2 linked regions of the Astyanax mexicanus genome follow. The protein of the gene in region 1 purifies or fractionates together with the protein of each later gene. This does not show direct contact. Links are inferred from orthologs where the notes say so. Each region holds a gene or a part of one and is shown on either strand. Other genes may lie near its edges. The genes, in order: sclt1 and kiz.

Evidence for each region.
Region 2: the proteins of sclt1 (region 1) and kiz purify together in Homo sapiens (co-immunoprecipitation; 3 studies listed by BioGRID and IntAct, counting the BioPlex papers as one, with this or other methods). This does not show direct contact. The link is inferred for Astyanax mexicanus from reciprocal best matches to the Homo sapiens genes SCLT1 and KIZ.

What each region holds. Positions count from the first base shown.
Region 1 is NC_064432.1:5,076,343-5,092,627, reverse strand, and holds the start of sclt1 (sodium channel and clathrin linker 1), read right to left. Parts: upstream 7,981-16,285; 5' UTR 7,727-7,980; intron 1-7,726. UniProt on the Homo sapiens protein: Adapter protein that links SCN10A to clathrin. Regulates SCN10A channel activity, possibly by promoting channel internalization.
Region 2 is NC_064421.1:20,952,391-20,967,817, forward strand, and holds the start of kiz (centrosomal protein kizuna), read left to right. Parts: upstream 1-6,817; 5' UTR 6,818-6,931; coding exon 6,932-6,996; intron 6,997-7,171; exon of another isoform or gene 7,172-7,457; intron 7,458-7,832; coding exon 7,833-7,895; intron 7,896-9,961; coding exon 9,962-10,124; intron 10,125-12,289; coding exon 12,290-12,370; intron 12,371-15,427. UniProt on the Homo sapiens protein: Centrosomal protein required for establishing a robust mitotic centrosome architecture that can endure the forces that converge on the centrosomes during spindle formation. Required for stabilizing the expanded pericentriolar material around the centriole.

The sequences.
Region 1 (16,285 bases):
CAACCCAATATCCTGATTTGATCACAGTAACCCAACATTCTAATCCAACGCTCCAACCCAACACCCTGAGTCAACACTCAAACTTAACAGCAACCCCACTCAACACTTGAACTCAACACACTGACTCAAAACAGCAACCCAACAACCTGATTCAACACAGCAACCCAACTGAACACACCAACCCAACTCAATACTTAACTTAACTTAACTTCCTTCCTCAATACAGCAACTCACCACCCTTACTCAAAACAGCAATCCAACAACCTGAATCGACACAGCAACCCAACTGAACACACCAACCCAACAACCGGATTCAAACACAGTAAACCAACATTCTCATTCAACTCTCCAACCCAACGCCCCGAGTCAACACTCAAACTTAACAGCAACCCCACTCAACACTTGAACTCAACACACTGACTCAAAACAGCAACCCAACAAAATACACCAACTCACCACCCTGACTCAAAACAGCAGCCCAGCAATCTGAATCGACACAGCAACCCAACTGAACACACCAACCCAACAACCGGATTCAAACACAGTAAACCAACATTCTCATTCAACTCTCCAACCCAACGCCCCGAGTCAACACTCAAACTTAACAGCAACCCCACTCAACACTTGAGCTCAACACCCTGACTCAAAATGGCCACCCAACTAAACACACCAACTCACCACACTGACTCAAAACAGCAACCCAACAACCTGATTCAACACAGCAGCTTGACTAAACACACCAACCCAACACCCTGACTCAATACTGCAACCCAACAAACCGACTCAACATGCCCATTTGTGTCAGCCCAACAGGTCAACTCATTAAACGAACTGAACACAGCAACCCAACACCCTGATTAAAACCACAATTTTAATCCAGCACACCGACTCACCACCCTGACTCAAAACAGCAATCCACGACCCAACAAACCAACCCAGCATGCCAACTTGTGTGAGCCCGTCAGGTCAACTCACCATTATTCACTCAACTCAACAGTTCGACTGAACACAGCAACTCCACTTAACACACCAACCCACCACCCTGACTCAAAACTGCAACCCAACAAACCGACTCAACATGGCCATTTGTGTCAGCCCAACAGGTCAACACAACATGCCAACACAACAGGTCAACTCATTAAACCAACTGAACACAGCAACCCAACATTCTGATTCAAACGCAGCAACCCAACACCCTGATTAAAACCACAATTTTAATCCAACACACCGACTCACCACCCTGACTCAAAACAGCAATCCACGACCCAACAAATCAACCCAACAGGTCGACTGAACACAGCAACTCAACACACCAACACACGGAAGTAACCCAACACACCAACCCAACAAATCTACCCTTATCTGCAAGATATCATGCGGTCAAACAGCTGAGTGTTTTCGTCAGACGGGAAGTGTGTTTATGCGAGAAGCGTGAGAGAGAGCGCGAGAGCAAAAGCGAGAGGGATTGCATGTCATTGCATGGACTTTGGCCGATATTTACCCCACAAGGTGTCGGGCTGCTTTGGGTTCATGAAGCATTCACACACTGACGCTTGCTGCATCCCGAACAAGAGCGAGAACATGACTCTCTCTCTCGCACTCTCTCGCGCTCTGCCTGGCTCTCACCCTCTCCCTGCTGAAGAAGCCAAAGTAGCTCAAAGGCAAGTTTCGGGAGGAGAACAAAGAGATTGAGCGGATGAATAATTAAACACGAGACTAACACAATACATCCAGCCCCGCCCACTCTCGAACACACCGCCTCGGAACATACACGCTTCAAACGCACACTCGTACACACACATACACTCTCTCTCTCTCTCTCTCTCTCTCTCTCTCTCTCTCTCTCTTTCTTCCTCTCTTCCTTTTCATTCATGCTCTCTTCTCCAGCTTCCTCTAATCCTCCATGTGCCGATTTCTCCGCTGGGCCCGAACGGCGCCGCCAAACAAAACAGTCGGCTCAGAGAAACACGCTGTATGTTCTGATATTTCTGGGCTGCTTTTTTTTTTTGTAATATCACAGGGTTCTTTAAGTGCTACAAAAACACCAGCTAAATATTTTCTCTCTCCCTCTCCCTATCCATCCCTCGCTTCCCCTCGCTCTCTCTTTTTTTTTCCTCTCTCGGCACTGGAGAGAGGTTGAATAGCTGTTGATGAAGCATGCAGAGCAGCTGTATGGCAGCCCCCTGACACCAGACAGGATTTCCCCACCATGTCTTCCTCTTTTCTATTCCTATATCCCCATTCATCCCTCCCTCCCTCCCTCCCCCATTCCTCTCTCGCCCCAGTCTCTCGCTCTCGCCCTCTCTGAGGGAGCGCGATTTTCATCCCTTGTTTATTCAGGCCGTGATATTTCTCCAGCAGGCTCGCTCTCGTCTGTCGAACGGGCAGACAGCCTATCATTACCCCCCTGCGTGCTGTTCCACTCAAATCTGACCCTTTTCACATTTAGCTTCACTTTTTTTTTTCACTTTTACTAATGGTGGTCAACACCTGGAGTCAACACACCAGAGCCAAGCCAATCCAATCCAGTCCAGAGGTGCCAAAACCCAACTCGCCAACCCAACGCTCTGACTCAATCACTCTATTTTACCTATCTATAGCATACAGGTCAATTGCGCAGCTTTTATTTATCATGAGGGTCCAAAAATAAATAAATAAATAAATAAATTACACCTTGCGCAGCTCGAAATGGTGAGCTCTGACTTTGGCACGTTTGTATCTTAACAGCGCGTTGCTTTTGGGTGCCTCAGCAGAATATACAGTGCCATCAGCTCATTTAGGGGAAAAGCAATGTTATTTTATATTCTTTATTCTGTTGTATTGTTGATGCAAAAGCTGGATTTGCACGTTGCAGCACTCTGGTGCAAAAAACTGACTTTTGTTGTATTAAAACCTGATAAAAGTACTTATATTTGATGAATAGCACACCTCCGTTCTCCCACAGCATTCTGAGATCCAGAAACGTGACAACTCAATGGAACGATTTAATATAGTAACCAAATCAATTCAATGAACCGATCCAACCCAATGCATCAAAACAATGCGATGAACTAATCTGCTAATTCAACACAACAACTCAGTGGGCCAACCAAACACTTTGACCCAACATGCCAATCCAATGTGCCATCCCAGTGTGTCAATCCAACATGACAACTCCATGAATTTATCCAACAGGCCAGTCCAATATATAACATGCTGACCTAACACAATGCACCCAATGCACCAACCCAGTCATCACCCTGATGCCAACTCAAGTCAACCCAACCAATGCTCTGATCCATTTTACCAACCCAGCACCCCATTTGAATCAGTCAACCCAATCTTCCCACCCCTCACACTATTTAAACACATACTCCAACACGAATGCGCCAACCCAATCTACCAACCCATCACACCATTAAAAAACACTCCAACCCATTGCACCAACCCAATCTACCAACCTATCACACCATTAAAAAACATACTCCAACCCAAGGCACCAACTCAACGCGCCAACCCAACACACATATCCAATATGCCAACCCAAGAATCTATTTGAATAAGTCAGTGCACCAATCCAACACCTTGACCAAACCGTTACCCTGATGGCAAGTCAAACCAATGCTCTGGTCTAAAGTACCCACCCAGTACAACATTTGAAAGAGTCAACCAACCCAACGCACCAATCAAAACACATACCCCAACCCAACTTGCCAACCCAATGCACTGGACAGAAATCACACATGCCAAACAAATAATTATACAGTCCACTGGTTAAATGAGCACTATGAGCACTAGGGGACCTGCACATGTTAGCTGTGACCTCATCAGTTGTGTTGGGTTGCCAGAAAAAAATTGGTGTACATGTGAAATATACAACATGTGATATGTGGCAGGATGCTCTGAGAGGCCTGTGAAATTCACACCTCCAAATGTGTAAAGAAAGAGTGTTTTCTTGGACATCTGTGTCCTTCAGTCCCAACTCCTCGCTGCACATGCCTGCCTTTAATGTGCCAGATGTCTTCTCGGTCAAACAAACTGGTGCCAACATGATCTCAGACATAGCAGACATACGGCAGATAAAGAGACAATAAATACCTTCATGCTAGATAAAGCACATCCCTGAGAGAATTTTGGGAAACACTATGGAGAAAGTGATAGTGAATTAAAATTGCTTTTTATTACTACTAGAATAATTAGAGATGCCACTCAATATTTGGCAAAGTAATTTGGCAAAAAATAGCATTTAGTGATGCAATGTTGAAACTCAACTTGCCAGTCCAATGCAACAATCCAATATGTCAACTCAACACACAAGCTCATTATATCAACTCAATAAACCAGTCCAACACACAAGCTGACACTCAACCCAAAGCACCAACAAACGCACCTATTCAACACATCAGTTACCACAACACAAAAGAAACCAACTCAACTCAAGAAACCAACTCAACCTGACACAACTCAACAAGCCAACTCAACACATCAAATTCCACAACACACAACAAGCCAAACCAACACAAAGGACTAAAAGACTGGCTAACACCCACATGAGTACCACAATTAAGGGAAATCTATGATTAGAATAGCAGTACTGAGATAAATGTATGAAAGTAATAGCACTACTGAGCTAAGTGTAAAATGTGTCATTAGAATAGCACTACTGAGGGACATCTATGATGAGAATAGCACTCCTGAGGTAACTTTATGATATGAACAGCACTGTTTAGGTAAATGTATGATTAGAATAGCACTCATGAGATTCGTTTGTTATTAGAACAGCACTATAGAGGGGAAATGTAGGATTAAAATAGAACTACTGAGGTAAATGTGTTGCTGCTGGTTTGTGTGCTGGAATAATAAAAAGGTTATAAATATTTTTGGATTCTGGTCTTGTAATAGCTTTTTTCTTTGAAAACATTTAGAGTACTTTATTTATTCAGAGGTGAAAAAATGGTCAAATGAGTAAAAACCTGTGAAACAATGTTTTCGGTATTCTGTATTTGACTTTCATTCAAAAGGTTTAATTTTGTTCTATTCTGGATTCCGTCAAACAAAAATATAAAACAAATCATTTGGTGCATTTCCATATCCAGGAATATAAACAGCTGTAATTCAGTGAGATAAAGCGATGCTGCGCTAAAGAGAACAGGGCGTCTCGAACAGGAATAAGCTTCATTAAAGCTTTATATAAAGAATCTGCTGTAATAAAGTAGGAGCACAGTGTGGCCAGAGATGAACTAATGAGGCCACATTCCACACTTCCCAGTATTTCACTGCGTTCTTTTTATTCCCTTTAAAATGTATTTTTACACAGCCATTTATTTTCTTCATTAGACTTTAAGGCTGGATTGCAGTATGTGTACAGTACGCGTGACCTCTGTTCTGATTGGCTGTTCTGTATGGTACTCGTTAAAAAGCAGTGTAGGGTAAAATACTCCGTTAACGTGAATGAGCGGAGCCATGGACATGATTTATTACTCCCACACACACAGTTATTTTCAGTGTAGATATTAAATAATAATAATAATAATAATAATAATAATAATAATAATAATGCATAGCGGTTTTAATACTTAAATACTTCAGCTTTCTCTTTTGATGCCTACATTCATTTATTTTATGACTTAACTCGTTCTGTTTTGGTGGGATAACGTTTAGCGCATCATTCTAGCTTCTACAGAAGCAACGACAGACAGCTAGATGTGGGAATCTTGACGCTAAATGAAGCCGCGCCTGCATTTTCCATCTATAATAATATTTTATAAGTTCTAAGTGCACTTTATAATTCTCTCTTTTAAATAATAATATATTCCGTTTTAAGTATATTCTAAAATTCTCCTTCAAATAATATATTCAGTTTAAAGTATATTTTAAAATTCTCTCTTTCAAATAATATATTTAGTTTTAAGTCAAATTTATAATTCTCCTTTTAAAATATATATTTTTTTAGTTTTAAGTTTATTTTATCATTCTCTCTGTCAAACATATTTCGTTTTAACACTTTTTTGTAATTCTCCCTTTTAAATATTTTTTAGTTTTAGGTCAATTTTATAATTCTGCCTTTCAAATAATATATTTAGTTTTAAGTCTTTTATAATTGTCCCTTTCAAATAATATTTTTAGTTTTAAGTCTTTTATAATTCTCTCTTTCAAATAATATTTTTAGTTTTAAGTCAAATTTAATATTCTCTGTTTCAAATAATATTTTTATTTTTAAGTCAATTTTATAATTCTGCCTTTCAAATAATATATTTAGTTTTAAGTCTTTTATAATTGTCCCTTTCAAATAATATATTTAGTTTTAAGTCTTTTATAATTGTCTCTTTCAAATAATATTTTTAGTTTTAAGTCAAATTTAATATTCTGTTTCAAATAATATTTTTATTTTTAAGTCTATTTTATAATTCTCCCTTTCAAATATATTTCGTTTTAAGCCTTTCATAATTCCCCCTTTTAAATATTTTTTTTAGTTCTAAGCCTTTTTTATAATTCTCCTTTTTAAATAATGTTTTTAGTTTTAAGTCTATTTTATAATTCTCCCTTTCACATAGATTTCGTTTTAGGTATGCTTTATAATTCCCCCTTTCAAATAACATTAATTAGTTAATTTTATAATTCTCCTTTTCAATTAAAATAGTTAGTTTAGTTTTAAGTCTATTTTATAATTCTCCTTTTCAAATATATTTTGTTTTTTGGTATATTTTATCATTCTCCCTTTCGAATAACATTTTTAGTTCAAAGTTAATTTTATAATTCTGCCTTTCAAATAACATATTTAGGTTTTAAGTCTATTTTATAATTCTCCTGTTTAAATATATTTCGTTTTAGGCCTTTTTTATATTTCTCCCTTTCAAATAATATTTTTAGTTTTAAGTCTATTCTATAATTCTGCCTTTCAAATAATATGTTTAGTTTTAAGTTCATTTTATAATTCTCATAAAATCCAGGCCGACCAACCCGACCTGAGCCCTTGAACTTTCTGCCCGAGATTCGACCCGCCCCATAAACTGTCATAATGAGCCCGAGGTGGAAAAGTAATCCAAATATGACACTGGTAAAAATCTAAAGTAAGTTCAGCTGCTGATCCGTTCTTATAATTTTAATCCGTTTTTATGAGTTTACTCTGTACATGATTCGTTTCTTTTTTATTTAGGCCATTCTGGTTAAAAATTATTTCTTTCTGTTGGGATCATTTGTCTTGTTTTATTTGTTAACTGTGGCAGCTAACGTTTAACATTTACAGCAGCAGTGCTTTCTTTGTTTGGTTTCCTCCCCAAAAAACAGTTTATTTACTTTGGGATATTTGCATTTTTTTTGTAATATATTTTTTTGTTGTTGTTGTTTTTCTATTTGTCTTTAGACATTCGTTAGATTACATTTTTCTTAGTATTTTGGGTTCAGTTTAGTTTCTTTTTTTTTTCTTTTGAGTTTTTTTATTCTAAAAAAAAAAGTCAGTTTGAGTTTTGAGTTTATTTTGTGCAGGAATGTCCTTTATTTTTATTAGTTTTGGTTGTTTGTTTAATGTTGTTTCTTCCTGTTTGGAATTGTCTTGTTTTATTTACTAATTGTGGTGTCAGCTAATAGCTTGTTGTGGCTGAGGGGAAATGTCTAAATTCGCATCTAATTCACATCTAAGAAACGTTTAAACTCTTAAATTCACCTTCACATTACACAAATAGAATTAGCAGCTCAGACACAATCAACCCAGCTGGCACGGCGGCCTAAAAAAACTTTAATAACTCACCCATCAGAAAATTAGTTGAAAATGAAGTCCATTCTCATGTCCTTTTGGAAAAAATGGTTGTTAGCAGCGTCATGCAACTGGTCCTTTGCTTTTAAACCCATTAACAGTTCTTTCTCCATGGAAATTAAGGCCAAACGTCTGTCAACTTCTTGTTAAAAGTTAATCTAGAAAACGGCTTGGATAACAAATTTGCAGAGCTGTCCTCCTGTACAGCGGTAGTGCTGGCATCCGCTTCCATCATGACTCAACAAATTAGCTAAAGCTAGCTAACTAACTAGCCTGGCCACCGCAGCTGGGAAATTATGATACAGTTTAAAGCCCGCCCACTTAGTGGGAAGATATTATTGGTCAATTTTACTGTCATTTAAAACGTTTTCACGCAAGGAGGAGGGGCCAAGTTCCGGGAGAGGCGATGGGTAAACCTATTTCCGGTTTGGAGCCCCTCTACGAAAATGGATGAGTTTTTATTTATTTTTAATTTTATATTTTTCATTAGTTATACAAATAGGTAAAGAGATAGATTAAAAGAGTAAACAAGAAGTAACAGCAACATATTAGCGATGTCAAAGATAAGTAAATAAAGAAAGGAAGAAAGAAAAAAGAAAAAAAAGAAAAGCCAGAGGAATTGCCAAAATAATCTAAAAAAAGAAAACATCCCATAGTCATCTCATCCTTTGAAAAGATTGTAAAAATAACGAACAGCCACCAGAATTTCTCAAATTATCTTTTCTTATTATTTATTTAATATTCAGTATTATTTAAATTAAATTGTAATGCTTTAAAACATTTAAGGATCTACCCATTTTTTTATTCAATGAGGGGCCCATTGACTTAATTGTTTGCAAATATATTAAAAAAAAAATCTTTTTAGTTTTTAGCTTTATGTATGTAATATTTTGCTAATATTATAATAAGGTTGATAATAAATGTTTCATTGCAATGAAATAGAGGGTTATTAAAAGTATAAAGAATATAGTGACTTTCAAGGGGAATGTCTTTACCAATTTTCTTCCCTAAATTCCAAAATATATCTACCCAAAAAGAGTAGGTAAAAACACAATAAAAAAATAAACAGTCAAATCTCACTATAGTTTTTACAGATGCTGCAATTTTCAGAGATGGAAACAAATGGACTTACTCTAGCATTAACTGGGTAACATTTGTGTACACTATCTTAAAAATAACATCTTTTATTTTGTTGTTAATAAAATATTTATGTGGCAAAGCCCAAATCAAATGCCCCCTAAACGTTGAAAATATATGTAGTAGTGTTTAAATAACACGTCTTTTGGATTCAATATTTAATATGTTGGTTATTAAATTTAGTATCTAATATATCAATCCCTTCATGGGTTTTTATTATTCCTCATCTTTTTCTGCACTTTAGACAGGATAATGTTGCCAGAACCGTCGAGGACCTATAGAGGAACAAACAAGCAAAACCCCATAAGGGATATAAGTTAATTTCTTTTTCGAGCAGTTTATTTTTGATTATGAATTGAATTTATTGATTTTTTTTGTGTTCAGAGTCCACTGTTGTAGATAAGGAGATCCTGTAATGGCCAGGTGCTACCGGTGTTCTGTCCATTTGTGCTACCCATCCGATATATGCTTCTTACCACAAACAGTGTCCGCACAGACCTATGTTTTTTTTTTTCTCACATTTTTATGTTTTTTCAGTTTCATCAGCTCCACAAAGTGCAGACTGCATTGTTTTAAGTATAAAGTTTGGCTGAGGGGGGATTATGAGTATGATAAAAATTCGACAAAAGTTCACGCTCGTCATTCATGTTTCACTACTACGCACCAAGTCTGTTTCACACTGTATTTCTCCTTTAATGGTTAAAATGTAGCGATAGATGGGGCGCCGAGTGGTCCAGCGGTCTAAAGCGCTGCCACTATGAGCGGGAGGTCGCAGGTTCAAACCCCCTCTCATGCAGCTTTTCCATCAAGCTGCCGGCGCTCAGAGGGAGCAAGATTGGCCCTGCTCCCTCCGGGTGGGTACAGTAGATGGCGCTCTCTCCCCACATCACTTCTAGGGTGATGTCTGCAGCACAAGGCGTCTGTGAGCTGATGTATCGAAACCAAGCCACTGCGCTTTCCTCCAAGCGTTAGCGCTGTGATGCTGCTCGGTAATGCTGCATCAGCAGCAGCTCGACTTCACATGTATCGGAGGAAGCATGTGTTAGTCTTTTTCACCCTCCTGGTGTGTTGGGGCATCACTAGTGATAGGGGTGGGTAATTTCCCCTGTAAATTGGGGAGAAAATGGGAAAAATTAGAAATAAAATTATAAAAAAAAAAGATAGATGAATTCCCACTCCAGCCACAATAGAGCAACTAAAGCACCTGTGATGTTGCGAAGACGGGTTCAGAGAGCTTTTGAGCACTTGAAGGAGAAATTAGTCTAAATCAATAGATGGAAAATGATGGATCTCAGCCTCAAATTCTCGAAAGTTCCCAAACGACCGCTGAAAAACGGAAACCGCAACAAAGAAGAGCTGCGAAAAAGAATGTACTGAATCGCAGCTCGAGTCATTAAAACAACTTAGATTTCCAAGGTTTTCCATGCTTTGCTTACTGCAGAAAGAGACCAAAGAAAGGGAAAAAAAAGAACAAAACGTGGAGAAGAGAAAAAAAAAAAAAAAAACGAGACAGAGAGGAAGGCCAAATCCAAAGGAGACTAATTTGCTGGTGGGCTGCTTCTTTAAGGGAGTCAGAGTTATGATTTATAGAGACCATTACGGTGAAGGACAAACAAACAGGGTTATTAGAGCAGATATCAGAGCCGTGTGGACAGCTAAAGGCTAACACCGGCCACCCAGCAGAGGGGAGGGGAAGGCGAGAAAAAGAGAGAGAGAGAGAGAAAAGGAAAGAAAAGAAAGAGAGAGAAACTCTCTCTAACTATTTATTTCTGTAAAGGCCTTGGATTTGGAAGTGTGTTCCTGCACTTTCTGAATGTTTTGCCACGAAGAAAAACTCGAAAAGAAGAAACTCCAAAGTCCAAACTGAGTACGAACAACAATAATAAACTCATACTTCGATAAATAAAGTAGAACTGGTAATAGATTCTCCATAATTCATAGAGGGTTATAAATAATTCATAGATCATAGCATCCGTGTCTTTATGGAGCTTGCTTTGTGCATTGGTGCGCAGTCATGATAGAACAGGAAGGGGTCGTCCCCAAAGTGTTTCCGCAAAGTTAGGAGCATGAAAGGGTCTGAAATATTTTTTCTTTGAGATGATGAAGGAAAGAATTAAATTTTTCTTTCGCTGCAACAAAGAAGCTGAGCCCAACTCCTCGAAAACAACCCTACACTATAATAATGATCCCCCCCCAGCCAAACTTTATACTTCAAATGCTCAACGCAGTGCAGTGTAATACACCACATTGGCACTAATGGTCAAATTTAAATCATTTAACTAAGATATATATGTAATGCCATCTAGTGGCTTTTTTTGGTAGCAGCAGTGTGCACGATTAAAACAGCGATGTGCAACATAACAAAATAAATAATAAATAAATAAAAATACAGGAACAGTCATGTACAAAATAATAGAACAATTAGAGCCTTAACAAACTGAACTCTTTCCTACTATAACAGTTAATCATGAAAAATAAGACTTTAAGACTTTTTCTTTAATAAAGATATATTATTAACTTTATCTGAGAGGAAGATTCTCTTTAAGGTACCAAAACTATTAACATATTTGAGGCTAGACAAAACAACTGTTATTTTTATATTTTAAAGTTTTTCTTTAAGAAGTTGAGAATGTCCACATTCTCTGGAGAAAGAGCTGCTCTTTGAGCAGTCACAATATCTGCGGCGTCAGCTACAGTGTGCTGCTCCATTTGCGTAGCATGCTGCGCCATTTGCGTAGCGCACATGCTAGTGTAGCTTAAAGGGAAGGATCATCAATCCTCTTTTTTTGACTTCGAGGTTCGAGACTATGACATAATTTCAATGACGCCCCTAGTTACGATATAACTGACAGTTGACTGTGGAATATTTAGTAGTGAGGAAATTTCACAATTGGACTACAGCTGTACAGGTTCCTATTTGTAGAAGCAGCATGTCTAGATCCTTGGTTTTTACACCAATGTCCATGGAAATGATTGAAACACCTAAATTTAATGATCTGGAAGGATGATATAGTGAACTTTAAAGGGCCACACTGGTGAAAGTTTGCACAAAACCCTTTCGAGGATTCTCCCCTGAAGTGTTATCGTCATGTTTTACCTCACTCCTGCTTTAGCTACAGCTACAATAGAGCCCGAGGACATACAAACTGAACATTAGCTTCGAAATAAGTGAATTTAATCCATTAATAAGCAAATGCGTTTTATATATTAGTTCAGCTGATTAAACCATCGTCAACCCTTAATGACAGGGGAGTGGGTGATGAATAATGCATGAGCTATTTATGCATGTCTCCGCATAAATAACCCAATCATTATTAACGCTAGCCAGGCAGCAAGGTTAACGAAGGCACGAAACACATACATATGTAAGTTATGGAAATGAAATTAGGGCAAAAATGATTGTCTGACAGCGCTGATGATGGATAAAAAGCCTTTTAACCTCAGAGAATGAATTAAAAAAATAGATCTAAAATTAAACACTTTTGATTTAGACATATACGTATTAAATTTATCCCTTTATATGGGTTTAAAAGATATACAGTGATGTGAAAAAGTATTTGCCTCTCTTTCCTTTGGGTATTTTTAATCATACTTACGTTTCACAGATTAACAAGCACATTTTAATATATAAAAAAAAAAAAACACTTTTGGCCCTGTTTGAAGGGTCAATTAATTTAACACGAATTAAATGAGATTAACCACATTTATTGGAAAACTGAGTCCAATTTCAGTAATCACACCTGTAGAGTCAGCTTATAAACCAAAACCTACGACTGCTTATGAAATGAGTGCAACGTCAAACCGTTTGAGAAGATCGTTGGTTCGAATCCCCGTCATGCAGCTTGCCATCAGCTGCCAGAGCCCCAAGAGAGGGCACAATTGGCCCTGCTTTCTCTCTGGGTGGGTACAGTAGATGGCGCTCTTTCCCCTCATCACTCCAAAGGGTGATGTCCATTAGCGCAAGGTGTCTGTGAGCTGATGTGTCGGAACCGAGTCGCTGCGCTTTCCTCCAAATGTTCGAAAAAAGAGGCGGAGTCTGACTTCACATGTGTCGGAGGAGGCGTGTGCTTTGATTTTAGCAAATTGAAAACCTCTGGAATATAATCAAGAGGAAGATGGATGACCACAAGCTGATCATCAAACCAAACTGAGCTGCTTGAATTTTTGCACCAGGAGTGTAAAGCATAAAGTTATCCAAAAGCAGTGTGTAAGACTGGTGGAAGAGAGAACATGATGCCAAGATGCATGAAAAAAAAAAAACAGTGATTAAAAACCAGATCTGAACTCTTAAAACTTTATGAACTTGTTTTTCTTTGCATTATTTGTTATTTGTTATCTCATTTTCTAAATAAATAAATTACTGCCAGACCTGTAGAATCAAGAAATGACTTAAATAGAACCTGTCTGACAACATGAAGCAGATAAAAGATCTCAAAAAGTCATTGGTCATCTATCAGAGTCTGGAAAAGGTTATAAAGTCGTTTCTAAAGGCTTTGGGACTCCAGTGAACCACAGTGATTCACTATTATTCAATTATTCGCTAATAGAGCAAACAGGAATGGAACACTGGTGAACCTTCCCAGGAGTGACCGGCCGACCTAAAGAAATTACTCCAAAAGGGCATGAACAACTCATCCAGGAGGTCCCAAAAGCCAGAACCCAGAACAACATTTATAAAGAACTGCGGGTCTGACTTAAGGTCTCAGTTAAGGTCAGTGTTTTAATGATGCAATAATAAGAAATAATAAGAGACTGGGTGAAAATGGCCCATATATCTACAGTATGTATAATAGATGTATAAAATATGGAACACATAAGGGCTTAGTATGATCACACATGTTGACACTGTATGCAACAGGTGTGTGTGTGTGTGTGTGTGTGTGTGTGTGTGGTGGAAGGTGGGAGGCTGAGAGAGATGTGTGTTTTTCTGTGAGTTCTGTGTTTTGCTCGTTTCTCAGCACAGTGTGAAGTGTGTTCTGTTACTCTCTGTGGGCTCCAGTAAAATAATACACTGTCGTTTTTTTTTCTTTCTCTCTGTTGGGAAAAATGAATACTTATTCAGTGTGTGTGTGTGTGTGTGTGTGTGTGTGTGTGTAAAATGGTAAAATGAGTCACTCTCTCTTTCTCTCTCTCTCTCTCTCTCTCTCTCTTTCTCTCTCTCGCTGTGTCTGTGGTGTAAAATGGTCGAGCGGGAGCTGCCACTCAGCAGGTTGCTTAGAGACTGGAAGCAGCATTAAAGAAAATAACAGCAGAGGAACGACAGAAACTAGTGGAGAGAGAGAGAGAGAGAGAGTTTTGGGAGAAACACAGAAGAAAGAAAGAAAGAAAGAAGGAAAGAAAGAAAGAAAGAAAAAAAGAATTAGAATGGTTTAACTGCTGTAGGCTGAATAAATGGGTGGTGCTAAAATGCTGTAGCTCAACAGGTGGCACTAAAGTGTGGTATGATAAATGGGTGGAGCTATAAACTGCTGTAGGCTGAATAAATGGGTGGAGCTATAAACTGATGTAGGCTGAATAAATGGGCGGAGCTATAAATTGCTGTAGGCTGAATAAATGGGTGGAGCGATAAACTGATGTAGGCTGAATAAATGGGTGGAGCTATAAATTGCTGTAGGCTGAATAAATGGGTGGAGCGATAAACTGATGTAGGCTGAATAAATGGGTGGAGCTATAAACTGCTGTAGGCTAAATAAATGGGTGGAGCTATAAACTGCTGTAAGATTAATTGTTTGAGCTATAAACTGCTGTAGGCTGAATAAATGGGTGGAGTTATAAACTGCTGTAGGCTGAATGAATGGGTGGAGCTATAAACTGATGTAGGATGAATAAATGGGAGGAGCTATAAACTGCTGTAGGCTGAATAAATGGGTGGAGCTATAAACTGATGTAGGATGAATAAATGGGAGGAGCTATAAACTGATGTAGGATGAATAAATGGGAGGAGCTATAAACTGCTGTAGGATGAATAAATGGGAGGAGCTATAAACTGCTGTAGGATGAATAAATGGGAGGAGCTATAAACTGCTGTAGGATGAATAAATGGGTGGAGCTATAAACTGATGTAGGCTAAATAAATGGGTGGAGCTATAAACTGCTGTAAGATGAATTGTTTGAGCTATAAACTGCTGTAGACTGAATAAATGGGTGGAGCTATAAACTGATGTAGGATGAATAAATGGGTGGAGCTATAAACTGCTGTAGGATGAATAAATGGGTGGAGCTATAAACTGCTGTAGGATGAATAAATGGGTGGAGCTATAAACTGCTGTAGGATGAATGGTTAGGAAACAGGTTTTAAACCCATTTTCTTTGCTACTTTTCTCCCTTTTATGTTAAATAAAGTTGTTTTTGATGATATAGGGTGTTTAAGATCACGTCTTCGTCACTTCATTGACTCCCAGCTGATCAAACAGAGCAGAATCTGTTCTCTTGTGTGTTTCTGTGTGTAACCAATTATACTGTCTCTCCTCAGTAAGAGACTGAAACTGAGCCAAATCCCCCTCTCGCTGTGGCGCTAGCTCCGACAGCTGGGACCCGTCACTCTACAGGGCGCTCTCCATGCACCGCTCAGATGTTTAGGGTGTGTGAAGCAGCAGATCTGATGGTGTACAGGTTGAAAAACACAGTTAAATTAAAATAACTGTTCAGTAGTAACAATCACAGCTATAGCGAAACATTAGATTCTGCCAAAAAGGCCATAAAGGTCCGTCCCTTACTGCCCTTTAACATTTGGGTAGTGCACCTCCTGGTGAGAGACCACTGACTGCGAGACTCGCCTCTACAGGCATTTGGAGAAGAATAAGAGAATTAAGGAAGTTCTGAAACAGAAAGAAAAAGAAGGAGAGAGAGAAAAGCAGAAAGAATAAGAGGGAAAAAAAGAAATAAGCTGAATTTAAAACATAGAGAAACATGGAGAAATATCTAAAAATAATCAAGGGACATCAAAGAAAAAGGAAAAAGAAAAATGAAGAGGAACAGAAGATGAATAAGAGACAAACAAGGGAATGAGAAACAAGAGGAGGAATAGAGTAATTAAGATTAACAAAGAAAAGAAGCTGAAAATGTAAGAGATAAAAGAAAAAGAAGTAGAAAAAGAACACAAATGAGTAAAAAAAAGGAGAGAGAGAAGCAGAACAAATAAGAGGGGGAAAAAAAAGAAATGAGCTGAATTAAAAAGAGAACATGGAGAAATATCTAAAAATAATCAAGAGGGACATCAAAGAAAACGAGAAGAAGAGAAAAAACAGAGAAACATGAAGAAAAAGAGAAGAGTGGAAATAGACATGAGGAAAAATAGGAAAAAGAAAAATGAAGAGGAACAGAAGATGAAAGAGAGACAAAAAAGGAATAAGACACAAGAGGGGGAATAGAGAAATTGAGATGAACAAAGAAAAGAAGCTGAAAATGTAAGAGATA
Region 2 (15,427 bases), on another chromosome or scaffold:
GCATACTCCTATTATAAAACAAGTGACCATTGAATTAACACAGAGAACTTGAAAGCTTTTATACTCTGATGTAGAATACATTCAGACTAAAAATTAATTCACCCCATTTGTAATTGCTCTGGGACTCTCCTGAGCCTCATGCAGACAATTTACTCAGATACAGGGGAGGAAAAAAAGGAACGATCTTATTGTGGGCTTACAAAAAAAAAGCGCATGTCCTTACATCCACTATTTACCAATGAAGCCATTTTTCCACTGCAAAGAAGCAGACATCGAGTGAACAATGGGAAAATCTATAGCACAGCCCATATTGTGCTCATTCACAATAGAACACAATGTGCCTTTCCTATTTCATACAAAGAAATCCAGGTTAAATTCACTCCTGGACATGCCTTTCAAGTTGCTCCAAATTGTGCGAAAAGTGATCAGGAGTGACAGCTAGGAGAATCAACGTCAGGACAGAAAAATGGGAACTGAAGGTAGATAAAACCAAGCGAGGCATTCAACTGAGCCAAAGGGTTCCTGACTCTACACAGGAGAGAAAACAGAGCCTTCAGCAGGGACAATTCACAGTCTATTTGTATAAGCTGTTTATCAAATTATTGAACAGACAGATGTTTCTGACTGCTCCTGGTTCTCCCAGGCACAGAAACAAAGGTCTGAAGGAATCATTTGTGATGTGCCTGGAATATCAATTCAGTTTACTGCTGTTAATTCACATGCAAATTTTGACCTCTGTTAAGGCATATCAATTACCCTACATACAGTATCTGAGGGACGACACGCACCAGGAAACGAGGGGAAATGACAAAATATGGACAAATTGTAGTGATTCAAATACATGAAAATGGAGTATATTTTTCCATGCATGTGAAACTCTGAATTCAATGCATTTATAATTTGTGATTGAACAAAATGAAAAAAAAATAATAATAAATTAGGTGTATAGCAGCAGCAGTGGTTTTATATATCCTTCTTTAATAATAGAAAGAAATCCAATCTATTATTATTATTCTGATAATAGGATTCATAACAATAATAACAACAATAATAACAACTAACAAGTAAACAATCATTATTCTTAAATGTACATTGTAACTTAAAATTAATCGTATAGGGTCATGTTGTAAAGCTCTGCATCAACTTAACATAAACTATTAACTTACCAATTATTAATTATTTAAAAAAAGTCACCAAACCAGAAAGGAGGTCTGCCTATAATACCTATAATAATGATGGTAAAAAAAATATTGCTGATGATGGTTAAAGGTAAAAATAATTAGAAAATTGCATTTCCTGAAAACATACAAGGGTAGCAAAGCAGAATAATAAAAAACAACAAAATGGCTGTTGATCAGAGCTTGGGGACCTGCACTGATTGAGTACATGCAGTTTAATGGCTGTTGGACAAAGTGGAGATTGGTAGAAATAAAATGAATGGAAATGAATGAGGGGTAACAAGGGATGAAAAGAAAAGAAAAAGTAAACTAGTGTAGGTAAATACAACAGTAAATTTGTTCTTTGGGGCATTCCCCAAAATAGTACAACAGTAGAGCAATAATCTCAAAACTGATTAAAAAAGCTATATAAAAGCACACCTCACAAAATCAGACTTAAAAATGTACAAATGTACAATGGATTTGGTACATTGTCTATAACTGAAAAACTATAAGATGAGTTATTATATGTCTCTTTTGTAAAAAATCTGGTACAAAAGAAAAAGAAGGCAGGTAGCCGTGCACTTATTTTCGGAATTATAATAACTGCCATAAAATAATAGCAAATCCATTTCTCAACTCATAATGTCTGCCATTATAAAACAAACCTGAGGACTGCTTTACGGCAATGTCAACATTTCTACATTTCTCTGTTAATGCCAGCCTTTCTCAACTCAAGTATTTTGTTTTAATGCTTCATCCTTATGATGAGCAATATCTGAACTGCTCCTGTGTTAAAAGTGATTTGTGGTTATTAGTGAGTGACACATTTGTGAAGGACTGATTACTTTGGATCTCAGTGGAAGCTGTGTTGGCTCTCACGGGCAGAACAGTGTTTCAAATCTTACTGTTATCACCTCCAAAATAGTGCCTTTCAGCCTTCCACTGCAAACAAAGAGCCGTGCAACAATATCAATTATACATGCAGGAAGCAAACAAGAGGATTTATTAGCCAACAAACAGCCTCACAGAGTGACCCTGAATGGAAGATATTAGCATGTGAAAAGCACAGCAAAACTCCCTGCTTCACCAGCTAAAGAGCAATTTGATGGGGCTGGAATTGGGGAAATTGCTTGGTTAGAGCGTACACCGGGAGGGGATCGGAATAGATCACCTCAGCTATAAGACAGAATACACAAAACATCGGGGCCATCAGCTGTCAAAATACAACAAGATTCAGAGAAAACACTGTCCAATAATCCCATAGAAGCAACTAGTTAACCAGACCCCCAAATTTATATAAAGGCAAGGTATGGATCTTCTGCAACATCTATTTGCTGTATAATCTGTGCATATATCAAAACTTTATTTAAGTGGGTCATCTTGTTCAACTAAATATTTAAAAGCCTCATAAATGGTGTTTTCAGCAAAAACTTTGCATTTTATTATTTGGAAAGTAGTGCTAAAGGTGTAAATACAATATCACTGTAAAAAATATCTTAACAATCTGATATAATGCATTAGTTCTATACCAGATTTTCTTAGAATTGTATGTCTAAAAAAAGAAGCATTAAGCAACATTTTGAGTACATCACTATACAATTTGTAATACTTCTTTAACACACAAGATAATTTATCATATCCTGAAAGTAAGGAGTATTAATTTCCCTCTGTTGTGTAAGTGCTTTATCTTCCTCTTCATCACGCCATGTTAAAAGTAATTTCTGCACTGCTGCTCTTACTAAATCATGTTTTATTTAACATTGTTATTCAGGTACTTTATATTTTTCTGTTAACTTAAATAGCTGCGTACTGAGAATAGGTTGAGAGAATAGATTAAACTAACATCAGTCTGTTACTACAGGACAAATATTTTCCCTGCACTACACGGGTAGTTTCCTACCAGGTTTCCTTACACCACAAGTCCATTTCACAACAGCTTTCTGTTTCAAGTACTTAAAACTGCTGTAATTATGCAGGTTCCATATTTTAGATAATTCAAGAAAAACCTTAGATGACAGTCAGCTTTACACCAAATGTGGGAACATATTGGAAGATTCTGTTAAACTGGACAACATGGTCCATCACTTTCTTTAAAACGCTCCTCTTTTCATTACTACTCGAGTAAATGGCAACAGTAACCCGGGAATGGTGATTTCAGTGTAGTGTAGTAACACAGGCTGGCTGGGAAATGGAAGAAGCTGCAACCATATATTATTAGTTGCTAGAATAGGAGAGCAATTTACAGTAAGTGGGTTCAAATTCTATCTATCTCATCTTGGTGAAACTGTGAAAATCCGGAAGATTACTACCTAAACCGAATCACAATTGGCAGCCAATAGTGTCACCTCTGTATCCCTGTCAATGCCCCTCACTCACCTCTATCGACTTGAGAGACACTTACCTTCATGCACTGAGCATCGAACTCATGGTTACTTGCCTGTGTTCTGATAGAAAAGCCAAACGAGCGCCTGGAACATTCCGTTTTTCCTTTGCACTGTAGATATGTGAGACAGAAATCAGTGGTCATTCTGTTTGATGAGGGTCAGTAGTCTCTTCAGCAAGTTATTTTTCTCTGCCATGACTTCAAGAAAATCGGGATGTTTACCTGCTGGCTGGACCTGGGGTCACGAAGGAGAGTGTGTGGATGGGCTCTCAGAGTGGCTTACAGGGCAGATGATTGGAAAAGGATATGATGAAATGGAACTCCTGAAGTAGAGCTCTATACATCAGGCAAGCTGAGGCATCAGTTTCTGTACAGCTCCAATACCTATGGAGTTACAAAAGAAGAGCACCCACTGTTAACACAGCTGGTGGAAAATAATTAATTTTTTTTTCACAGACCGTTCTATGCTTTTTTATAAATAATAACTGAATAGCATATTTGAGCACGCTCTTCACATTCGATTCATTTATTTGATTCACTTTAACAATTCAACAATGCACCATGATCTACAGGGATTTTCTACAGTCATTAGTACAAACAATGAACTTTTAGACATGAAATACAGAAAATCAGTTGCACCGACTGGTTTGAAGATTTGTGTACAGCTTGTGGATTGTTTATGTGATGCACTCTTCATTTACACATAAGGAGTACACAAAACATGGCAAAAATCTTCACTACTTTGTCAAATCCACAATGCCAGATGGCCACCAGAGCAGCTAAGCAGCTAAGTATCAACCCCTTGCATGTTTGAGAGACTTTGAATACCAGTAATGTTCCTGGTGACACCATGCCCCGTGGTTATATAAAAAAAAAGGTTGTGCACACTTTACTTTACCTTGAGACCATTTCTCAACAAAGGTCTGCCTGAGTGAGGATAGAATTTAGCAGTGATAATGCATCATATATCTGCAGGTACATGCGTAGCTAGCTAGCATTCTATTTCATGCCTCTTGACAGACAGAGTGGTTAGGAAGTAGTGGATGAAGAGTACCAACAAAGTCATGAAGGCAGTCATGTAGTAGAGCCTCCAACACATCTTTAAGAAGGTTGTCCAACACCCCTTGACAAACTCAGGGCTCTATAGACTCAAGCAGGGACCAAAAGAAACAAAGTTTATCCATCTCTGTGAGGGCAAAGGATCTGTGTTGGCCAAGCGAGCTGTAGCAGTTTCTTGCTCAGCTATGTGAAGAGATATGTTAACAAGAGGTCGAGTGATGACCAGAGGGCATGGAGAAACATGACTTTGGTATTCAAAAGCTTGTGTGTTCAAAAGTGTTTGGAATGGTACACTCATGAACTCATTCAATATTATTCTTACTTACTTACTCTTACACTTACATTGTACCTTTCTGCCACTTAAAATTGCATTCCACACACACTCAACACACACCAGTGAGGAGCGGCAGCCAATCGCACATAGTATACTCTCAACCGGAGCGACCATCCACCTGAAGGACTGCATCTGGCACTGAAGAGTTCACCCAGCACAGAGTGCCAATCCATATCTGGGCATACAGTCACACACATTCACATACATTTACACACCAATTTTCTGGGCAATTTAGAGTATTTCATTTACCTGATATTTCTGTTTTTGGGCTCCGGAATCCCAGAGGAAACCCACGCAGACAGGGGGAGAACATGGAAACTCCATCCAGTTAGGGACCTGAATCCAGTACCCCAGTGCTGGTAAGCGAAGGTGCTAAACACTAAGCCACCGAATATTCACTATATAGCATTTGCTATATAGCTAACTCTCTAGGGACAGAGGGACAAAAAAAATTAATTTGTACTTTTCTAAGGATGTCTGACACACCACCGCATTGAATTATATTATATATTGGAAATCATCTGTACACTGCATTTTGCGATGCACTGTGGATGTTTTATAGTGAACTATTTAGAGATTTTTTTTTCTTTTGGTACTTGTCAGTTTTTTTTGTATGTGTATCACACCCTGTGCTTAATTATAACACATACAATGTATTTAAGTGTATTTGGAAAACCAAATAAAAATACTTCTGAGCCAAACAGGGAATAAAATAAGACTATATTTCGAACTGCACTACAAAATGGCTGACATAAAATAAGGTGCACTATTACTGTAATATGGAGCGACTCCATATTACTCTCAGCTAAAGTCTCATACATGCTACACATGCTGTTAAAATCTGGCTGAAAGCTAAATGTACATTTATTCAGAACAGTCACCCAAATGTAATCTCAAGGCATTGTAAACAAAATCTCAAAAGCGGGATACTGTTTGTATTTTTACAGATCAAACTGTGTGTGTGGACGAAGGCAGAAAAGTACTCTTCATAGGGAGAACGTTACGTTAGCTAGTTCTTTATTGTTGTAAATAAATAACCGTTAATTAAATTCGGGAAACGGGCGTTGGCTGAAACTGTGTAGACTGTGTTCACGTGAACTGCGCAGTGCAGTGCGCGCGCTCACAGTTAGGCAATGCCTGCGTGCGCACACTATTTACATGTTTATTTTGTTTATTTAAAACATGTTCACGTGTGATAATACCTAAACGTGTCTTTTTATTTGTTTTTTATCTGGAAAAAAACAATCTCATGCCTTAACATCAAAATGGGGAAAAAAATAAAGTTATGCACTTTTAACCCTCACTTTTATAACCCTCATTATATTATACGTATTGAAAAGAAAAATATAATTTTTGAAAGCTTTGGAGTCTGTGTGAGTACATAAAATATAACTTTTTGGTTTGCCCTTTTATAACAAAGTGATCAATTAGAACAGATGCACATATTAGATTCTTGCACATATACACGGTAACTTTTATTTATGACGCTCTTGTATGTGTCATTGTAAAGTTCGTAGATATGCCCTTTAACATTATATAAAAATACAACACAAATAAATAAACAAAAAAAAACATTTTAAAAGATAGGTAAGATATGAAGTAGTAAACAAATCGGCAATGAGGTCAATACTATGCTAAAGAGGGTTTTTGTCTCTTTACACGAGACAAACTGTGTGAGGGGTTTGTTTCTACCCAAAAGTCTACTTACCCAATGTTTGTACGTTTGTATAGTAACAGCTAAAAGTGCACAAAAGCAAAATAACACATTTTAAATCCTTATATAAAAACAAACTGAGCGTTTTTCCTCATCCTAGCCTGAAGAAATCTCGTGCACGTGAACTGGCAGTGCAGTGCGCGCGCTCGCTTGCTCGTGGCCACAGCGTGTCTACTTGTTTACAACCCAGGCCATCTGGGAAGTGGTGCGCATGGCAACGAGCGTAAACACGGTCCTGGCGCTGTGCGAGACACAGACGGGGGACCAGCTAATAATATTCAATGGCTTTTTGCAGTGCCGAGTACTTCGACACAGTGGGATCTATTCAAAAGGGCATACATGAAAGGTAGGACGCGATATTTATACTATATCCTCAAGCAAAGCCTTGATATAGAGGGGGCGCTAGGGCCTGGTATGAAGCCGCGGGTTTGAGTCCAGAGCTGCGCCGCTATAGACCGCACTGCCCGCGCATGTCTGCTCTTCTGTGGTGCTTATACTCTTTAGCCTAACAAGCGTTAGCAAGAAGCTAATGCTAATGCTATTGCAGCTTTCACTGAGAAGCGCCTCTGTGGAAACGACGTTGAACAAAGTGCTGCTAGTGCCGGTTACTTCAAGTTGGCTACGTTATGCATTAGGTCTTTTTAACGTCATGTTTACTGTTGTAATTATATGTATTAATATTACCCAGATACTTAAGCTAGCAAGCACGCTACGTTAGCTAGTTAACGTCCTGCCTGGTTTATTTTAGTCACATCCCATTCACCGGGCGGCTGGAGTTGGGGCTAGCGCAATAAGCAAAGCGGGACGGTAAGTTAAGTGAGTAAAGTTATCTAGGTAACCTAGTTAGTTAACTAGTTAGCTTTTTTTGTTTATTTCTTTGGACACGTTTTTAAATGAATATAGCTAGCTAACTGAGCTAACTAAGTTAACTGTTATATAATACGACATCTGCTGTTAAAACCCCACCGCTATATTTTAACAGCTAGAGCAGCATTGTGAGTTATGATTCGTGGTTAATATAGGTTCGTGAATTTGATTAGTTAGCTAACTAATTGAATCGTTTTCGGAGACCAGCGTTGCACTGCGTCCGGTTAGAGATTTTTTTCATGCAAACCCGTGATATGAAATTGGTCTGTGTAAGATATTTGAGTTATTTTTAAACATAAAGTCTTTCCATTTCAGGGAAAAAAGGAGGCATGAGTTGGAGGAACAATTGTTTACCTATACACGATCAGAAGATAGACTGTAAGTATCCTACTTCACTTATGTGTGTTGTTTCGTGTGTGTTTAGGTTGTGCAGGGTTAAATTTGTTTTATGTTTTAACGTTATCTTCTTACTAAGTTCCTGTATAGCTGTTTTATTAACAAGAGTTAACTATATATGTTGAATACACTGCCTGTCCAAAATAAAAGGTCCCAACCTGTATTTAACAAAGCAACTAGGTATAAGCACCCCATTGGTAATTTATGTTTTAGCTGGCAACAAGTTATTGTGTTTAACTCTATCTGATCTAGGGAGTAATAAGCACACATCCATAAACAAGGAGACATCCTGTGGCTATCAAAATCAGAAATGTTAATCTGTTTCAGAAGAGTCAAATTATTGACATGCACCAAACAGAGAAAAATCTCGTTAGATTGCTGAAACTACTAAAATCAGGTTAAAAATTGTAATGACAGTGGGGAAACATCATCTTTGAAGAAATAATGTGGTCAGGAGAAAATATTAAATGATTGTGTTTGGCCATCACCTTTTGGTGAAAACAAATAATAGAAAAACAACACTAGAATCTAAATTTATGTTTAATAGTAAAGGTAAAAGCATTTCCACTCCCACAATGTGAAGGGAACTCAAGGGATTGGGATTACACAGCGGAGTAGCCTTAAGACTTACCATTGATGGGAACAGTAAAAATGGCTTCAGTAGGGTAGGAGACAAAAAGATTGTACTTTTGCCCAAAGAATGAGGTTAGCTGACTACCTGAGTACACTGAATGACTAGGTTATTTCATCAATGGATTTTTTCTACCCTGATGGGACAGGAATATTCCACTATGACAATGCCAGGATTCGTCAGGCTCAAACTGCAAAAGTTAGTTTCAGGGAGCATGAGATATAATTTTCATACATGGACTCTGGAGTCCAGACCTGAACTCCATTGAGAATCTTTGGGGTGTGCTGAAAAAGACTTTGCACAGTGGTCCACATATATCCTTATCAGTGGATAATATTGGGGAAAATGAATTAGACACAGAAATAAATGTTGTGACATTGCAGAGGCTTGTGGAAACGATGCCACAGTGAATTAGCTTGTTTTTGGCCAGGCAGTGTGTATTATTTAAACTATATCATTATGTACTGTATGATCCTACATACCAAGCAAACAATCTTATCTATATAGGGTTATTAATATGACATTACTTTCAATGCAGTTTAATTTAGGCTAATCTCTGTAGAAAACTGAAAACTGTTCTTTCTTAACAATAGCTGTTCTCTTAAATGAACTGTTCCCTATCTTTTGCCCTGATCCACTTTTCATAAGGTACATTGTTTGAATGGGACTTCACCTCGAAACTTTTGTTTTAGGACAATTAGATGACTCTCTAAAATATAGCCTCTTCTCTCTCACGGGTGATATGATGGCACTTAACTCAAGTGCCGGAGACCTATTTGTTTTTATATGGCCCCGCCAAATTCATGGATGCAAACAAACATTTTATGAGGATGTTAGGGCAGGAAAAATGTAAAAGGTTAGTGGATCAGCCTTTATGATTCAGATTCAGAGTTTACCTGCAATTTTCCTTGTTGGCCTTTTTTTTTTAAATCGCAAAACATTTTCGCTCTGGAGTGCCAATTAACAAATGCACCAAGCACCATTATCAGATATTTTTGTCTGTCTCTAACTTGACCACAATTTTAGCTTCAGTATTGCTTATACAAGGTTTGACACTGACCATCTGTGATTGAACATCCTTGCTTAAGTGTATATGTTCATATATAATACCTGAATATACACATCATCACTGTCCAATGAAAGAAATGTATCTCCAAAACAACAACTTTACAGGAGAGAGATGAAACCTTCTCAACTTTCAGTGGAAGTCAGTGTAAGAAGAATGTATTTCAAGTAATTTTGGAGAATGTCTATTGTTTTTGTATTAAGACACAAATTTGACACATTAGGTTGTAAACTAAAAATGGACAAAAATGTAGATACTTTTTTTTTTCTTTAGATGATAACATACAGGGTGTACGCTATATCCAACTCTAAGTAATGGGATTCTTTAATGTCTTTATGTTTGTTTTTACAGAGCCAAATTGAAATGTGCCAAGATGCGCTACTATCACAAGGAACTGTGTAAGAGGGAGCAGCAAGCAAAGGCTCGCAACCTTGAGCTCCTGAGAAATGTCGAGAGCCTGGTATCAAATGCAAAAGAATTTTCCATTGACTACACTTTACTGCATCACTTGAAGGTAAAAGCCTTGGATTGCTATTTCTGTTTTGTGCTGACATGCTGGCCTCCAGAAGATGATGTTTGAATTATTTTCTTAAGCAGGCTTTCAAACAGTGCTTTCAGCAGCATCATCTTTCTCACCCCCTTATTTATTATAATGCCTTGTGCTGTGTATGTATGTGTGTGTGTGTGTGTGTGTGTGTTTATGTGTGTGTGTTTGTGGTCCTAATGAGACCGTAACTGATTTAGCCTAATGTGTCACAGCAACTAATTGCTCTGAAAGCAAGAAATTTGCGATTTTCTCACACACTGTAAGCTTCAATTAGCCTGCTGCCTATAATCCCATATCATTGTCTAATTCTCATCTGCTGTTTGAGCGTTTACTCTCATTTTTGTTTAGTAACAATTGTAAACACTCTAACAGTGCCATTTATCACTGCAAGGAAATGAGAAAAAGAAAACAATGGCTGTGGTCGATTATCACTTAAAACTGAACAGTGCTCAACAGCTTAATATCAAATTTGCCAATTTGTTTAATTACACTACCCCAAATTAATTGCCCACTATTGAGACACTGAAGTACCTCTGGCTTTCTCCCTCCCTGAAAGGAGACAGTCTGTGACTCTCTTTCTCTCTGTCTCTCTTCATTTTTATTGTTTGGACTCATTATCATTTTATTATATTTGTTTATTCTCTAATTAATGAATGTATTGTATATTTAAACACTGTTTAATGTTATTAATATGGGTGTAGAAATTGCTAGTTGCTAACAAGTAAGCTAAGAATATCACCAACGTAAAATGAAGTAACAAAAGCTAAATTGCAAAGATTCAGTCTATTGCAAAGATAGGAGACCGCTAATATAACTGACATATACACAACCAGACAGCCTCTGACACTTTCCCGTTCTCTCTGTTTCTGCAGTTCCAATATTTGTCAGTGTAATTATAATAGTATGTACACTACGGTTGTAATTATGTGTTTGGAAACCATTGCAAATAGATAACGGATTTGTGCTTAGCAAGCAAACTGTTCCGTTTGGTGGAGCTTCTATTGTCTTAGGGGAATGAAGTGGGTGGCTGGAGGTAATCCCAGTGCCCTCACTGCTGCCATTAGACTGTTTAATTGAAGTTTGGATTAGTCCAGTCAGTCTGGCTAACCACAAAATTGATTAAGAGCCCTGGCAGGCAGTGTTAAGGGCACTCAGAGGGGAATACCCACAGTGAGGGACACTACATTTTCAGGGATAAACATAAGCCTCTCTTTCCCCTCCTCTTTTCCTCAAGTTCACTGTTTACACTTCCTCCCTCCCTCTGTTTGGTTTTAAGAATTCTCTGTAGTTAAAAAGGAACATCCTGCACATTCAAAGCATTGTAGTATGGTAATCCAAAGCCTGGAATGTTATTTCAGAGTTCTGTAAAAGCAGTTGCCATTGCATTGCTTTTGTAGGTGATTTTGAATAAGACTTGGGCTATGTTCACACAGCAGGTAAAGAGACATAAATCTGATTTTGTCATCTGAACACTTCACACACCTTAACTGATCTGCATGCAAAATAGATCAGTTCTTCACATTCACCTTCACCAGCCTTACAGCAGCTATCACGGAGTTCCACTGGCTGACAGCTGAGCTTATCAAAGAGAATGTGTACAAGCTTGCTGTAAAAAACAGCAGCAGTTTCCTTGGTTTGCATCCATGGTTTCTTTAAACTTTGTTCAAACTTGCAGCAGTTGTGATGTGTACCTTTTTAAATTAGTTTGAACAGAAACCTCACCTTTAACATTTAAGGAGGTCTGTTACCTCATCATCTCACCCTCACTGCTAACATCCATTTCTATTTCTCCTTATTATTAATTAGATTTTTAAATAAAGGTGGCGTGAATTCCGATCTGGCTGTTCAGACTGATTCACACTGTCACGTGTTGGATATATATCAAATTTCAATACCACGTATGAAGTGGCCCAAATCAGAATTTAAAATATCCTTTTTAATGTGGTTTTGCTGTTCACGCTCTCACACAGGCAACACGTATGTGTCACTTATGACAAAGATATTTGACTTGGACCACTTTTATCAGCTGTGTGAATGTAATCTTTGCAAGAGTTTTTTCTTATTAATGAGTTGAAAAAGTTGAGGATTTTTTGGGTAATAGAAGATTTGATAGATTTTTTTTTTCTTTTCAGATGGATTGTAGAAATCACATTACCAGACTCGTGGAGGAGCAGAGGAAGACGGCGAGCAAGCAGGAACTCGAAGCACACAAAGTACGACAGATTTATCATGTCATCTTTTGGGATTACAATTTGGTGGAAATTTACAAAGCTATCTCTCCGCCTTTGATGAAACCATGATCTTATGATGGGATCCAATATAAAGTGTACCGTTTCACTTTTCAAAGAAGAGAAATGACAGTTAGAGAGAGAAATAGACTCGCAAATCCATTATTCTGCGCAATTCCTCCTCTTCTTTTTCTTCTTCAGTAGACACTTTTTACAGTTTATATGGGGTATCAGTGTTCAAAGACTACAATTAATTTATAATCAAAAGCAATTTGGGAAGTGCTTGAGGTAATTACTGTTTTGCTCACAACTTCAAATGGCTCTTTTGCTTTAATAAAGGACCATCCAAGTCTTTAAACCAAATTATGGTATAGGGGTTTTTATGAAGCTCTTGAAAAGAGGAAAAAAAAAAAAGAGTGATCTTCTCTGGAACTTTTTCTAGTTTCGCATGTCATTTAACCCTGACCACCGTACACTGTTGTTATTTGCCTGGTATTATCAGCAGAGATATGTGTACATTTTAATCTGTAGTCCTAGAAAAAAGGGAAAAACAGGAGAGGAGGTTTGTTTAGTCGGTTGTTTGTTTTTCTTGACTAGCAAAAAATATTGACATGACTTTTTAAGGCTACATCCATATAGAAATATTTTTCTCCCTCTTTTTGAAATTGTGTCTGTCTACACAGAGATGTTAAAAGCTTACATGAACATGCTAACCTGGTATGGGTATAGTACCTTATAAAAAGAGAGACATCAAAACATCATGCAAGAAAAAAGAAAACATAATAGTGTGTTATCCCATTGCCCACTTTTTAAAATGTATAATAACATATATGGCATTTTAGCCGACTTACATGGTTATTTCTATTACAGAGGTGGACCAATGTAGTGTTAGGAGTCTTGCCCAGGGACTCTTATTGATGTATCACAGTATAGCCACCCAGACCAGGAATTTAACCCCAGCCTCTCACATGATGAGGTAGCTCACAAGCAGTTGGTGGTGTTATCCACTGCACCACACCAACCACAAAGTATAATACAAAATGTGTGTAAATCTATAATGCAATCTAGTGCTATCTGTGCCTCAATGTTGTAGTTTTGATGACATGTATTTCAGAATATTGGGTGTTTGAATGGATTTGAGATTTAGGCAGAAAAAATGCATGCACTGTGATGACAGCATTTTAAAAAGCTTCATATTTACTGACCAAAAATAGTCAGAACTTTTCCTGAAGATGGGAGGCCATAATTTTTTATGTTTTTTTTTTAATATTTAAAAAATATCCAGTAAAATAAAACTATACTTCTGTTTGCATTCTTGGACAACAGAAGTAAATTTTATGAAGCTCTATTAAAATGTAAATGTAAAATGTAAACTTGTGTCCGCTATCTGTCATACCAAGACCATTGTGCTATTTAGTTTTTTTACAGTCTATTTTTTAATACCACTATTTCTATAAACAGCGGTTATTGATGTGGTGTGTGGTGTCCATAACAAATGAAACAATTCTTTGGTGTTTTTTGATGAAAAACAGAAGTAGCCATTATTTAGACAGCTCAGCGTTGGTGGGGTGGGGCCGGGGGGACTGTCCATTTTTCGTTGCCATATCTGTGATGGCGCAGGTGTCTAATCCGGCCCGCTATGACCGTGCCACCGATGTAGTTCAAGCCTGTGGCTGCTTCTTTCCCTCACTTCAAGCGGTTTGAGCGCTTTCAGATGAAATGTGGAAGACAGCTCATAATGACTTGGAGCATGCTGTCTTGAGCAGTCACTTGTGACTGTGTGTCCCCCCCCCCCATTCAAACACACACACGCACACACACACACACACACACACACACACACACACAAACCCTTCTGTCTCTCTCCTTCCCTCCCTCCAGCCTGGCGATATTGTAATGAGCAGAGATGGGAGGAATCACTCCATTATGCATACGCGCCACTGCTGGCTGCGTGCATGTCCCCGAGGCTGCAGCATTCATTAAGGGGAGCTTACCGGCCTGAAAGCTGGGAAGCCATGATAACGGGATATGATTTTCATATTTAATACATTCCTTGGAAGAGCAGGCGCGTGCCGCAGATTGATAGAAGAATCAATTGCTACTTTAGCGAAACACTTTCTACTTTGCCCCGCAGCTAGCGATGGAATCACTCAGCCAAGAAATTAACTTTTCCTCCCTCTCTCCTTCTCTCTCTCACTCCCTCTCTCTTCCTCCCTCTCACTTCATTCCCCCCCTACCTCTGCGCTGGATCTGCCAGGCAGGCAGCGCGGTTTACAGTGGATGTTATTAAGCAGCTAACTGTTTGGTATTTAAGACCCTTATCAGAAAAGAAACAGAAGCCTTGCTTTTTGTTATTTTGTGTGTGGAGAATTTTTTTTTCTTTCCCCTCCACCACGCCGTAGTGCCATGGCAGACATGAATCAGAGCTTGGGAGCAAAGCACTGCTAATAAGATTAAAAGTTAAGACATTGATCTCAGTACACTCAGCTGAAAAAAGAGAGTTGGAGAAGGAATCTAACCTTGACCCAAATAGATCTCGGGCGGTTGTTGAAAAGGCAAAAAAGTGGCACTTTTGAACACTTTGGAGTTGTTTAGGTTGGGAAGGAGCTGGGGGAGACTGAATTGGCACTGTTGAATTGGAGGAGCTGCTAGGCTAAGGTTATTGACTGAAATGGAGAGTGAATAAAAATGTAAATGAAGATTCTAGCAGAGAAAGTCTCCAAATTTCATTTTTGCTTTCCTAAAGAAACTCTTCATAGGTAGTTATTTGAATAGTTGATGAACGTGATAATCAGATATCAGTATTGGATGAGTTTCAGCCCAAATATGCGATCGGCGATCAGCCATTACTTGCAGCCATTTGTTTTTGGTGAGTTGCTGCAGCATTGCGCAAGGCCTGTTTATCACTGGAATCTGGCTTCCCTTATTAAACTGCTATATATTTATACAGACCTCTTACATGTCTGCAGAAACCCAGAGCCACTCTGGCAGTTTTACCTTATCTGACTTAAATAAACTCAAATATTTGTAAAATGTTTAAAT